2 linked regions of the Neodiprion lecontei genome follow. Each later gene encodes a partner of the first gene's protein in a complex. Links are inferred from orthologs where the notes say so. Each region holds a gene or a part of one and is shown on either strand. Other genes may lie near its edges. The genes, in order: translation initiation factor eIF-2B subunit beta and translation initiation factor eIF-2B subunit gamma.

Region 1 (4,274 bases):
ACGTACTGCCATCTCCATGTAAATACCATGTATTATATAGAAACGTACTGTTTACCTATAAATAATACTAGCAATATAACTGTATCAAAATTATAGGTGATCGTCCTCAGTATCTTAAATATTTCCCTATAGCTCAATGATTATCGTTGATAAGAAATGAAATTTAGAGAGAGAGAGGGAGAGAGAGATGAAGGAAAACAACAACAACAACTGCGAAGCGTGTTTATATATTATTGATTAATTAATATGATGCATTTGACGCAAAAAAAAAAAAATAATAAAAAAAAAAAAAAAACCTTATCAAACTGATTATGAATTTCATAAAAACTGTCTAGGAAAGCTAAATTTTCGAATACAAGAACTTCTACAACGACCAAGAAATGGACGTTTGAGACTCGCAGTAGGTGAAGTAAAGTATAATAGTAATCAGACATGTTTCGCTCCTTGTTTTCAACTCGTTGTCGCGTTAAAATATTATCTGCGGACTTAACAGGATACGTATCACTGATATCTAGGCACAGGAATTCGATCGAGTTCCTAAAAACGATCACCACGATGTTCCCGTTAAAAGTATATAGGTTACGAATTGTACTATAGAATATATATTTAGGTGAGAATGATTTTTTCCAAATATATATATATTTTTCTTTTCAGCGACTTTGGCAATAAATTGTAAACGGCAAAATCATTGTAACGAAAAACTATACGGCAATGCTAAGAAAAACAAGACAAAGACAACAATTTTAGCTTCGTAAAGATATCCATATGTAGGGTGAGTATAAGTGATGCATGTAGAAGGCAAAAAAATTAAATTAACGAAAAAACTGAATTTAGTCTGGGTATAAACAACCGTAGAACAATGGTATACGGAGAGTAGAAGAACTAAAACTAAATCAACGTTATATAGTATGGCATTGAAAATTTCCAATTTTTTAGATACAAATTAGAATATTAGGGACTGGAGTCTATTCATAATTATAAAAATCAAGTGATAGCCGTATTAATAATTCAAGTATTATACGTATAAACTTTCATGATTTTTCCCCTATAGTATATTACTAAATATTAGTAAATATTTTAGATGTTTAAATTCAAAATGAATTTGTGACTTTCATGAAATGGGAAAGTCTCTATCTACCTGTATAATGTGTTAAATATTGCTTTTATATTGTATGTTTCAGTTCACGTCACCCCGATTTTATAAATACAGGCAAATATTGTTTAAGAATTTTTAATTATATAGTTATTGAAATATCGGAATAGCTCAAGTACTATTATTATATTACATTGTTGGCAGTTTTCCACTGGTAGTGGCAATATCAATAAATGTTAATTACATCAAGGCCGAATTTCATTTAGATAAGTCCCCACCAGAGTCCACTCAATTATACTTAACATTTCATACGTTTCTCATATACCTATATATTCTTATTTTGCGATTTCTTCGAAGAAATCGATTACAATTAACGTCACAACGTTGGCCCTGTTACTACAAATTGCAGCACAGTTGTTCACCAACCAATTTATAGGAAAGTGTTGCTTTGCGGAATTTCAAAAAAATCGTACATTTATTACGATACTCATTTTTCAAGTATTTTGTACTACAAGAAATTTGAATTTAGCGGTAACGACTGTCGATAGCAGGAAATTTTAGTCGGTATCAGTTGTGTGGAGAGTTCTACTATACCGATAGAGAAAAAGGAAAACTAACGTCCGTCGCAGTCGCGTTGATCCAATATTGCCGTGAAAAGTTCTGTAATTATTTTCGATAAACCATATCGAGTAAACTTTAGTGCAATAAAATGGTAGCTGATGTTCCTGATAATATCCACCCTAGTGTGTTAACCTTGATAAGGGATATTAATTACGGGTATAATAAGTATTTCTGAAACATAACCTTCGATTCACCAAACTCTAAAAGCGTTTGACATTATCGTGTTGCAAAATTACTAAAAACTGAACACACTGGTAATTTGTTACAGGAGAATCAATGGTAGTTACAACATCGTAGTATCGACCGTATCGCTATTAAAGAATATCATTAACAATTCAGAATGGAATACCGCGGAGTAAGAATAAATTTTGATAACTTGAGTCTAATTATTATACCAAATAATTATAAATAATTATCCATTTTAATGTTTGCTGTCAACTTCCACAGAGAATTGATGAAATTGATCAAAGAAAATGGAAAAGTTCTGATCGATTCTGTACCGATAGAATCGTCGATAGGTAGTATGGTTCGTAGGATACTGAAAATCATCAGGGAAGAGTACATATCGGAGTTGAAACATAGAACGGAAGAGACGGACCCTCAGGAATCCCTTCATAAAATTCTTACCGCAGGAGGAGATCAGGAAAATGACTATTCCCATTCCGTTCCCTCTCTGAAGTCCGCACTCATCGAACACATTACAGAATTTCAAGTCGAACTGGAAACTTGGTCTGTATTTTATACCCCCGCACATTTGTCTCTTTAATAAATAGAACGTCCATTTCATTCCAGTTCTGTTTCAGCTCGGAAAATATTACCGAGCAAGCGTCGGAACACATTCACTCCAATGAAATTATCATGACACTGGGAAGATCCAGGATGGTTGAGGATTTTTTGAAAAAAGCCACAGAGTCAAGGACTTTCGAAGTCATCGTAGCCGAAGGTGCACCATTTCTTAATGTTTGTATATTATTTCTATTTTGTATCTTTACATTTTGAAATAACATTCATCAAGTGTTCAGCTGTACAATCTCATTCATAGCTCATATTTGAGCATTTTTGTAGCCTTAGATCTATTAATTTACTCTCGTGCATGCTTTGTTTTGCTATTATTTCACAGGGCCACGAAATGGCTGTAAATTTAGCCAAGGCAAAGATTAAGACGACTCTGATATCTGACGTGGCGATATTCGCTATGATGTCTAGGGTAAATAAAGTAATAATTGGAACTCATACAGTCATGGCTAACGGAGGGCTCAGGTCTATCACAGGATGTCACACAGTTGCGTTGGCGGCTAAGCATTATTCTGTACCGGTTACAGTCCTACTACCGTTGTACAAATTGTCGCCTTTGTATCTTTGCTCGTACGAACAAGATGCTTTCAACAAACACGTCTCTCCGACGCAAGGTGTTATAGATGGCACCAATTCTCTACTGATGGAAAAAATTCAAGCCTACAACCCTGTCTTCGATTACGTTCCACCGGAACTCGTCACGTTGTTTGTTACCAACACGTTAGTCATCACTTTACACACAGCTTTCAATGTGTGGCAAATCATTCCAACATACTTTTTTTCTTTTCAGTGGAGGAAATGCACCGTCCTACATCTACAGATTGCTAAGCGAGTTGTACCATCCCGATGACTACGAATTATAATACATTGACCATACGAATATGACAATGAAAACGTAATTAATTTGGTAAAACTAAGTATGATAATCGAAATAAAAACTTGACTATATTTATTAATAAACTATGAATTATCTTGTGTCCATTTTTCACTGTGATGAAACATATGTGGCCAAACAAAGGAAACAAAAAATATGTGTGGAAAGATAAATTCGGAAACTCGGAGATCAAAGTCAGACAAGATTAAACGGATACTGGAAACCGTTTGTATTATATTTGCACATGACGATGGCACGGTAATTGGGATTTCCACATTTAGATTATTTAATGTTGAAACACTATACTTGTATCAAGTAAAATTTGACACAACATGGAACTTGTTTCTACAACCAGATTCCATAGTTCAAGCACAGATAAAAACCAGTAGATTTTTCAGCATAGATATATCTATGTACTATTTGAATTCTAACACGAATTGTTTTTGTACATACATATACATGTATGTATATATATTTATCTAAGTGCAGAATTAGTCAATAGTTGGTAGTTATTCACAATATTTGGGTCTATTTACTATCATCAGACATAAGGATTCCAGTTGCTACCGTCTTCGGGCTGCAGAGAATTGGTCACCAATAAAATAACGTCAACGATCCACCAAACGCCAACACCGCCCAAAGTCAAAAGCTTACCGACGGCAGTTCCCGTTTGTCCTAAGCAAAATCTATCGACACCAACAAAGCCTAACAGAATGCTATAGAGCAACGTGGTAGTAAAATAATGTCCGCTATATTTAATACACGGGACCCCTCCTCGGAAAAATGTTCTGACTCCGTGACATTCGATCTCTGGCAAAACCTCGCAAGTTACTTTGGTCCGTTCCACATCCTCGTAACGAGAACCACCGAACTTGAATGCAATAATAAAAC
Region 2 (6,694 bases), on another chromosome or scaffold:
GTCAAACTTATTAAAGACCTGGCAAGTCCGGGGCTGAAGTGCTTAGGGGCTAATAGTAAGATTCGTCTGACTAGTCTTAGCGCCTGTATCCTTTCAATTTCATTCCTTAAATTTAAATCCATACTTCGCGCAACCAAGTATGGATATTGTAGTTTATTCAGCATAATAACATCCTGCTCTTTTTTAAGCATATATCGCACTGCACGTAAGGCTGCTGCACGGACTTGTGTGGCTTCATTGATAAGTCCAATACGAAGACTGTAAAGAAAAAATGACGATTTTTAAGAAAACAAAACATTGTTAACAATAGATTTGGAGAGTCAGGAAGGCCAACCATCTTACTACTAGGAACTAGTCTACATCATAAGGTATATTTCAACATCAGTTCTCACATTACGATTGTATTTTTGGATATTTAAAAGGGAAAAGATATAACATATGTGAAATTAAGTAAAACTTTTAAAGGATGATAGTTGACGAATTTACAGAATACCTCATGCTATATATTTAATAATAAAGTACAAATAACATAAATCAATATCTCACCAACAAAATAATTCCTTATTACAGTACCCATATTCCACAAGATCATTCTCGCTGATGAATTTCACAATGGCATTTAGATAAGCTAATTTTCTTACGTTGGATATTCCTTGGCGTTGACATAGATTCGTTAATACCTCTTGTACATTTTCTTTTATATCTACAAAACAAATCATTCGTATCAAGAGGCATTTGTGATAATAGAAAGAGAGGTAAAGTTAGTGTTTAGAACTGTGACGAGCAAGATATTTTTACTTTTTTCCAGATATTTACTTGTTGCTATAAGTAAGAGTATGGATATAAACTTTCAATTAGTACCGGCATTGAAGGGTTCATAATATATTCACATCTGACTTTGAAAAGCAAAGAAATTCGAGACGAATGTGATAAGAAAGTAAGTTTGAGATGCCCAGTGCTATGGTTTTCACGTTACAGTTGGAAAATAAATTTCCAGATTAGTTTGACACTGGGGAATTGTTATTGTTGGAGATATTCAACTGTTATTGTTATTATTGGTATTTTAATTGCTGTGATTATTAGACATACTGTTGTATAACATTCGAAAGTAAGATTGACAGGTTAGGGCTAGGTTACTAACCTTTTGACAGATCCAGTTGCACGGAATTGTCTTCGCCATCAAGATGACCTGCGGCAACAAATGAATTAGTTTTCGATAATGAGTTCATTCAAAATATGTGAAAAATGAGCATACTTTTATGAGATCTATTAGACCGTGAACTCCTTCCACGAATCATCCAACTAGCCATTGCTATTCACTGCCGGCCGCTATCCACAGGGACATTTAATACTTTCGTCCATTTAATAGTATCTTTAAACAAAGGATATTTCATTCTTAAAACATCGAAGTACTATCACGGCTTTAATTATTGATGAATCAAGTGTGATTTGATTCAAGTGACACACGTACGGACGTTGAACTCGACATAGTGTACTTTCGATTGTGTAGAATCTAAAAAAAAATTCTACATAGGCACGTATAGGTGCCAGAGTAAGATGGGAAAACAATCGAAGCTTTTCGCTACACTGCGATCTGTTATTGTAAAAAGCAACTACAAGGGTATTTTGTGGAAACTTCACACAGAGTGCAGCACTATCTAGATTGGCACTGTTGCACCAATTTATTCTAAATCGAGTGACTCCAAAATTCCTGAAATTTTTATTACAATCAATATTGACGTAGGACTTCTGTTACTTAATTCGATCCTGTGATTTTCTCTGCCAAAGTAGGCCGAAATACAAATCACAGCCAGCCGATCTCGCTTGTGATTGCTAGTGAAGTTCAAATTTATGCCTGACGTGGTGAGCGAAAACAATTCATATCAACGTACGTCGAAGATCCAGTTCGATAGGGTAGAAATTTGTGAAGCAAAATATTGTTGAACAAGTATTTGATATAATATGTGATGACAAATAAAAAACGTGCTATAATTGATATAAAAAGAACCCCAAACGATGTATGTATATGGCTGTAGCGTACAAAAATTACAAAGAAAGCACACATTCGTTACCAGTATTGTTTACTAACCTACAAATGATAAAGATGGTGACTATATAATACCACCTGTGATATTACACAAAAATACCTTGGCTTCACCTATCTTCAATGCCTCAGCCACGGGTATAAACAAACGAAGACAGATGGACTAATTCATTGGCACCAGAGGCATCAGGATTGGCATATTTCCACCATATTTCCGATCAGGGAAGCGTCACACGGAAGAATAAAGTATAAATAGATGGTAATTGTTCGGTGATGTCAATAATAGTTATGAGTTAACCTGTCTGTCAAGAAAATATCAATTCTCCATATTTAGTAAGTTTTTCTGAAAATGATAGAAATAGAAATTGTATGAACATCCACAATTCTTAGAATCGATACTTGTACTTAGAAGGAACATCACTCTGGTTTCCCCCTCTGATTTCGTTGCAACGCATGTATGATGTTGAACCTTGAAAATTAAAAGAAGTGTATTTAATTTATCGGCGGAAAAACGGTTTAAAAGGGTGAAATAACCCTCCAAAGTAAGGCATTTCAAGGGGCGATTTGACAGTTTCACCCGCAAGCAATCGGCTGATTTCAATGAACCGAAATTGAAAATGTTTTTCATGTTAATCATTGTGACGACTACCATACATATTGAAACAAAATAAATAAAGTTGAGGGGTGAACCGTCCCTCAATTTTTTTTGCACTCGCCATTCAAAAATCGTGGACCTAATTGAATGAAACCAATGCCATTTTATAGAAAAAACAAAATGGAAGTTCATGTATTTTTGCGTTTTTCAAAAACGCAAAGTCAAGGGAGTAAACTGCCCGCTGCATAAACTTACTTCACATGCCATCTTCCATCTGTTTAAAATGTATCTGCTGATTCAAAATATATTTGTCAGCTCATAGTTGAAGTTTCATCACATTATAAAATCATTAGGCATGTGGGAGGGTATCAAACATGTGCCAATTTATTTTGATATGGCTGATGCCATTAGATTGAAAACACGAACGTTGTGTATGCGCACTCTTGCATACTTAAAAACTACCTCTGCAAAGAGGATAGACTACCCCTCAAGTGAGGGTGGGTATCAATACTTATATTTGTACGTTAGAGAAATTTCCGTGCTTTTTTTATACGCTAGGTAAGAGCATAATTTTTAAATGGGCTCATTCACTGTCAGTTCCTTGTTTTTAAACAACGATCCATATGAACAAATTCATTAGCATTATGTCTATATGAATGATATGTAAAAATCCATTCTTCCGTTCAAAATATTTGTAGTCGGATTCAATACATATGATTTAATTTATTTTATAATATTTTCATGTTAAGGGTCTTGTTTTTACGCACGCACGTAGACAATAAAACAGAGATTCCTATTCTTTAATCACATATCGTATGGTATACAAGACATGTTAAAATTGAATGTGTTGGTAAATGATAAGGATGTTGGTGCAATATAAGAATATTATTAACTATGGGGTGGTCAGATAATATATTATTTTTCTGATATACCTGCTTTAAAAGCTCGTAACCTTTGAAAATTTTTTCATTCCATGATTGTTAATATATGTAATATTAATCATAAGAATGCAACATAAGAATATAATATAATATAAATGTAATATTTTGTAATAGCGATCAAACAAGAGTGGTTTTGGCAATTAAATTGATTTTAATTGGTAACATTTTATTTAGATCAAAACGTTTTTTCACTTCAAAAAAAAAATACATTTCTTAGTTTTCAGTATTCTACAACATACATGAGTGGCAACAAAATCAGAGGAGGACACCAAAGTGATGCTCTTTGTTAGTACTTATAATTGATATACATTTTCTTTTACTACAATGTTATTTATGATACGTATAACTTTGAATTCTTAAGCTTGATTCCATTAACATCCAAGAAAATTAATCTACAGATGAAGTGGCTAATATAACTGCTACTTTGACCACATTAAATTGTAATAGGTAATATCTCACATGGTTGTGTCATAAGTGTTTATATTTGTGCCAGCTAATAAGTAACACAGAAAAGTCAGGAAGTACTGTCTAATTATAGTAAAATTCTCGGCAACACTAAAATTTATCTAACCCTATACATTGCAGACCCTTTGCACCTGGAATCGCATGACACAACATGTGGCGCCAAATGGAATTTCAAGCTGTAGTCCTTGCTGCAGGCAAAGGATCCCGAATGACAGAATTGACAGCTAGTCGAGCCAAGTGCTTGTTGCCTATTGGAAACTATCCCATGCTCTACTATCCCCTAAAACTTTTAGCACGTAACGGGTTCATGGAAGTCATTGTTGTGGTACAAGAAGAATGGAAAAATGAAATAGCGTTAGCTATAGACAAATTGAATATTAGACTCAGATGTGATTTCGTTGGAATCCCAGGTGGGGACGATCTAGGAACTGCTGACGTCCTCCGATTAATCCATGAGAAGTTCTACACAGACATCATTGTTCTCCCTTGCGACTTGATCATGAATATCGATTTAAGTGGCATTTTCAATTCTTATAGAAGACATTCAGCAATCATTATTTCTATGCTGATCCAACTTCCAACATTTTCTGACAAATTGATTAATCCTGGACCAAAGAGCAAACCAAAACCAGAGAGAGATTTGATTGGAATAGACAATGAAACTAATCGATTAATTTTTTTCGCCTCTGCATCAGATTTTGAAGAAAAGATAAATATATCACGAAAACTGTACAAGAAACATACAAACTTCAATATTAACTCAAATCTTTTGGATATACACTTATATATCATCCATAAATGGATTTTGGATTGTCTACTAATTGACAAGTATGTCTTTTAGTAAAAGAGTAACGATCAGTTAACGCCACAAGTGTATTTTTACCTTACTACCGAAGTACTGATTAATTTTTGTTTATTTTTTACAGAAGCATCAGCTCTATTAAAGGTGAATTATTGCCATATGTTATCAAGAAACAATCAGCGCAGACACACAACCCCAATAAAATAGAAAAAAGTACATCTATCATGAAACAAAACACTGACAGAGATATATTTAAATTGGTAACGGACAAAGCTCTGAGCAAACGGAAAAAACGTCTAGATGTTTTGATCAGTGAAATGTCGCCCTTCAATGACCACTCGACAAATTTGGAGAATGCTTATAACGAAGATTTGATAAAATGTTATGCTTTTATTCAAAATACCAAATTTGGATTTAGAGCAAATAACATACATATGTACGCACTGGCAAACGCAGTAGTAGGTTGTTCTGTTATGGAAATTTGCATTCTACATTACATAATTGAGAAATTAATATAAGTTGGTTATCCAGAATTTGCTCTGTTATGGCTTGTTGGTTTTTGCACAATAATTTTTGTGCCGACAGTTCCCACTCTTGGTGACCTCTGAGGGGCTGTGTCATAAAACATAAATCTCAGAAACATGGGCTGAAGTAATATTAGCCTACTAATTATATTACGCCTTAAGTTGATTATATTTTCAGATTCATGAAAAGTGGGCTATTCTGTCAGCGGCGCCAACGATATTTTTTGATGATTCAATGATCAAAACCAACCAAGTTGAAAATTGCACAATTGGTTATAATGCATCAATCAGTGAAAAGACATCACTGAAGCTCAGTCACATTGGTACAAGTGCAGTTATAGAAACGAAAACAAGGGTTTTAAACTCCGTTGTAATGGAAAACGTTATGGTCAAAGAAGGGTAATATAAAACATTTTTTTGAATAATAAAGTAAACCCAAATAAATCACTCACTGTTTTGTCTGTTTTTCAGATGCGTAATTAACAATTGCATATTATGCAATGACAGTGTAGTCGAAGAAGGCTGCGAGCTAAATCATTGTATAGTAGGAGCCAATCATACGGTACCAGCTGGTAGTCGGCATTCTGATGAAGTTTTGACCGATATTGGTAATCTAATGGAAATTTAAAGATTTGAGAAAGTAACGTTATTCGCAACTCTGTATTTTAATGATGTCAAATACTACGAAATAAATAATTTGTTTACTTCTAATTATACGTTATTGCTAGTTGATTATTCGAATATTGTAGTATGATGTGGGCACTATATTCCCCCGGAAACATGAATTGTTCTTCTAGTGCTTAGCATCCGACATTCTGGTAGAAAAAAATAACTCAAATGGTAAAAAAACTAATATAAGTAGATAAATACACCGTTGACTGAACATGTAAATTGTACTGTCCACGATCGTGGGAAATTTTAAATTTACGCGGGCTTTATGTGGCATAGGGTTTGAAATTATACCCAGACTACGAACTCGGACCTTGATAAAATATTTTCAATGTGGGCATCTTGAGACAACTGCAGGCAGCGGATCGCTGTGAGCCTCGCTCGTGCCGTCACCTAGCGGTTTCAAAAGCTAAATAGCCGGCGTGTTAATTTACATTAGAGGCATACTGATAAATATCCAAATCAGCAAAATATTATCAAATAAGTGATATTTCCATTGTAACAGTGAAGTGAAAAGTTGAAACTAATAACGAGTTGAAACTCCAGTAGTATGTAGCAATATAATATTAATAAATACACAATGAAAACCACTACCTTTTACGAATAAAGGTTTCTATTATTCTACTTGATAGTTTTTGTTTTATTAGAAAAAAT

What was found.
Region 2: translation initiation factor eIF-2B subunit beta (region 1) and translation initiation factor eIF-2B subunit gamma share a complex: the UniProt entries of both Homo sapiens proteins name them as parts of the translation initiation factor 2B (eIF2B) complex. The link is inferred for Neodiprion lecontei from reciprocal best matches to the Homo sapiens genes EIF2B2 and EIF2B3.

Annotation. Positions count from the first base shown.
Region 1 is NC_060265.1:21,914,084-21,918,357, reverse strand, and holds translation initiation factor eIF-2B subunit beta, read left to right. Parts: upstream 1-1,700; 5' UTR 1,701-1,802; coding exon 1,803-1,870; intron 1,871-1,982; coding exon 1,983-2,069; intron 2,070-2,161; coding exon 2,162-2,443; intron 2,444-2,517; coding exon 2,518-2,674; intron 2,675-2,834; coding exon 2,835-3,359; coding exon of another isoform or gene 3,360-3,372; 3' UTR 3,373-3,469; downstream 3,470-4,274. Other genes in the region: TM2 domain-containing protein CG11103, read right to left, coding at 3,925-4,254. UniProt on the Homo sapiens protein: Acts as a component of the translation initiation factor 2B (eIF2B) complex, which catalyzes the exchange of GDP for GTP on eukaryotic initiation factor 2 (eIF2) gamma subunit.
Region 2 is NC_060263.1:38,050,085-38,056,778, forward strand, and holds translation initiation factor eIF-2B subunit gamma, read left to right. Parts: upstream 1-2,090; 5' UTR 2,091-2,377; intron 2,378-3,797; exon of another isoform or gene 3,798-3,865; intron 3,866-3,941; 5' UTR 3,942-4,027; intron 4,028-4,165; 5' UTR 4,166-4,196; coding exon 4,197-4,873; intron 4,874-4,971; coding exon 4,972-5,305; intron 5,306-5,549; coding exon 5,550-5,770; intron 5,771-5,842; coding exon 5,843-5,999; 3' UTR 6,000-6,083; downstream 6,084-6,694. Other genes in the region: rapamycin-insensitive companion of mTOR, read right to left, coding at 1-258, 547-703, 1,142-1,189, 1,256-1,310; uncharacterized protein LOC124294107, read right to left, coding at 6,662-6,694. UniProt on the Homo sapiens protein: Acts as a component of the translation initiation factor 2B (eIF2B) complex, which catalyzes the exchange of GDP for GTP on the eukaryotic initiation factor 2 (eIF2) complex gamma subunit.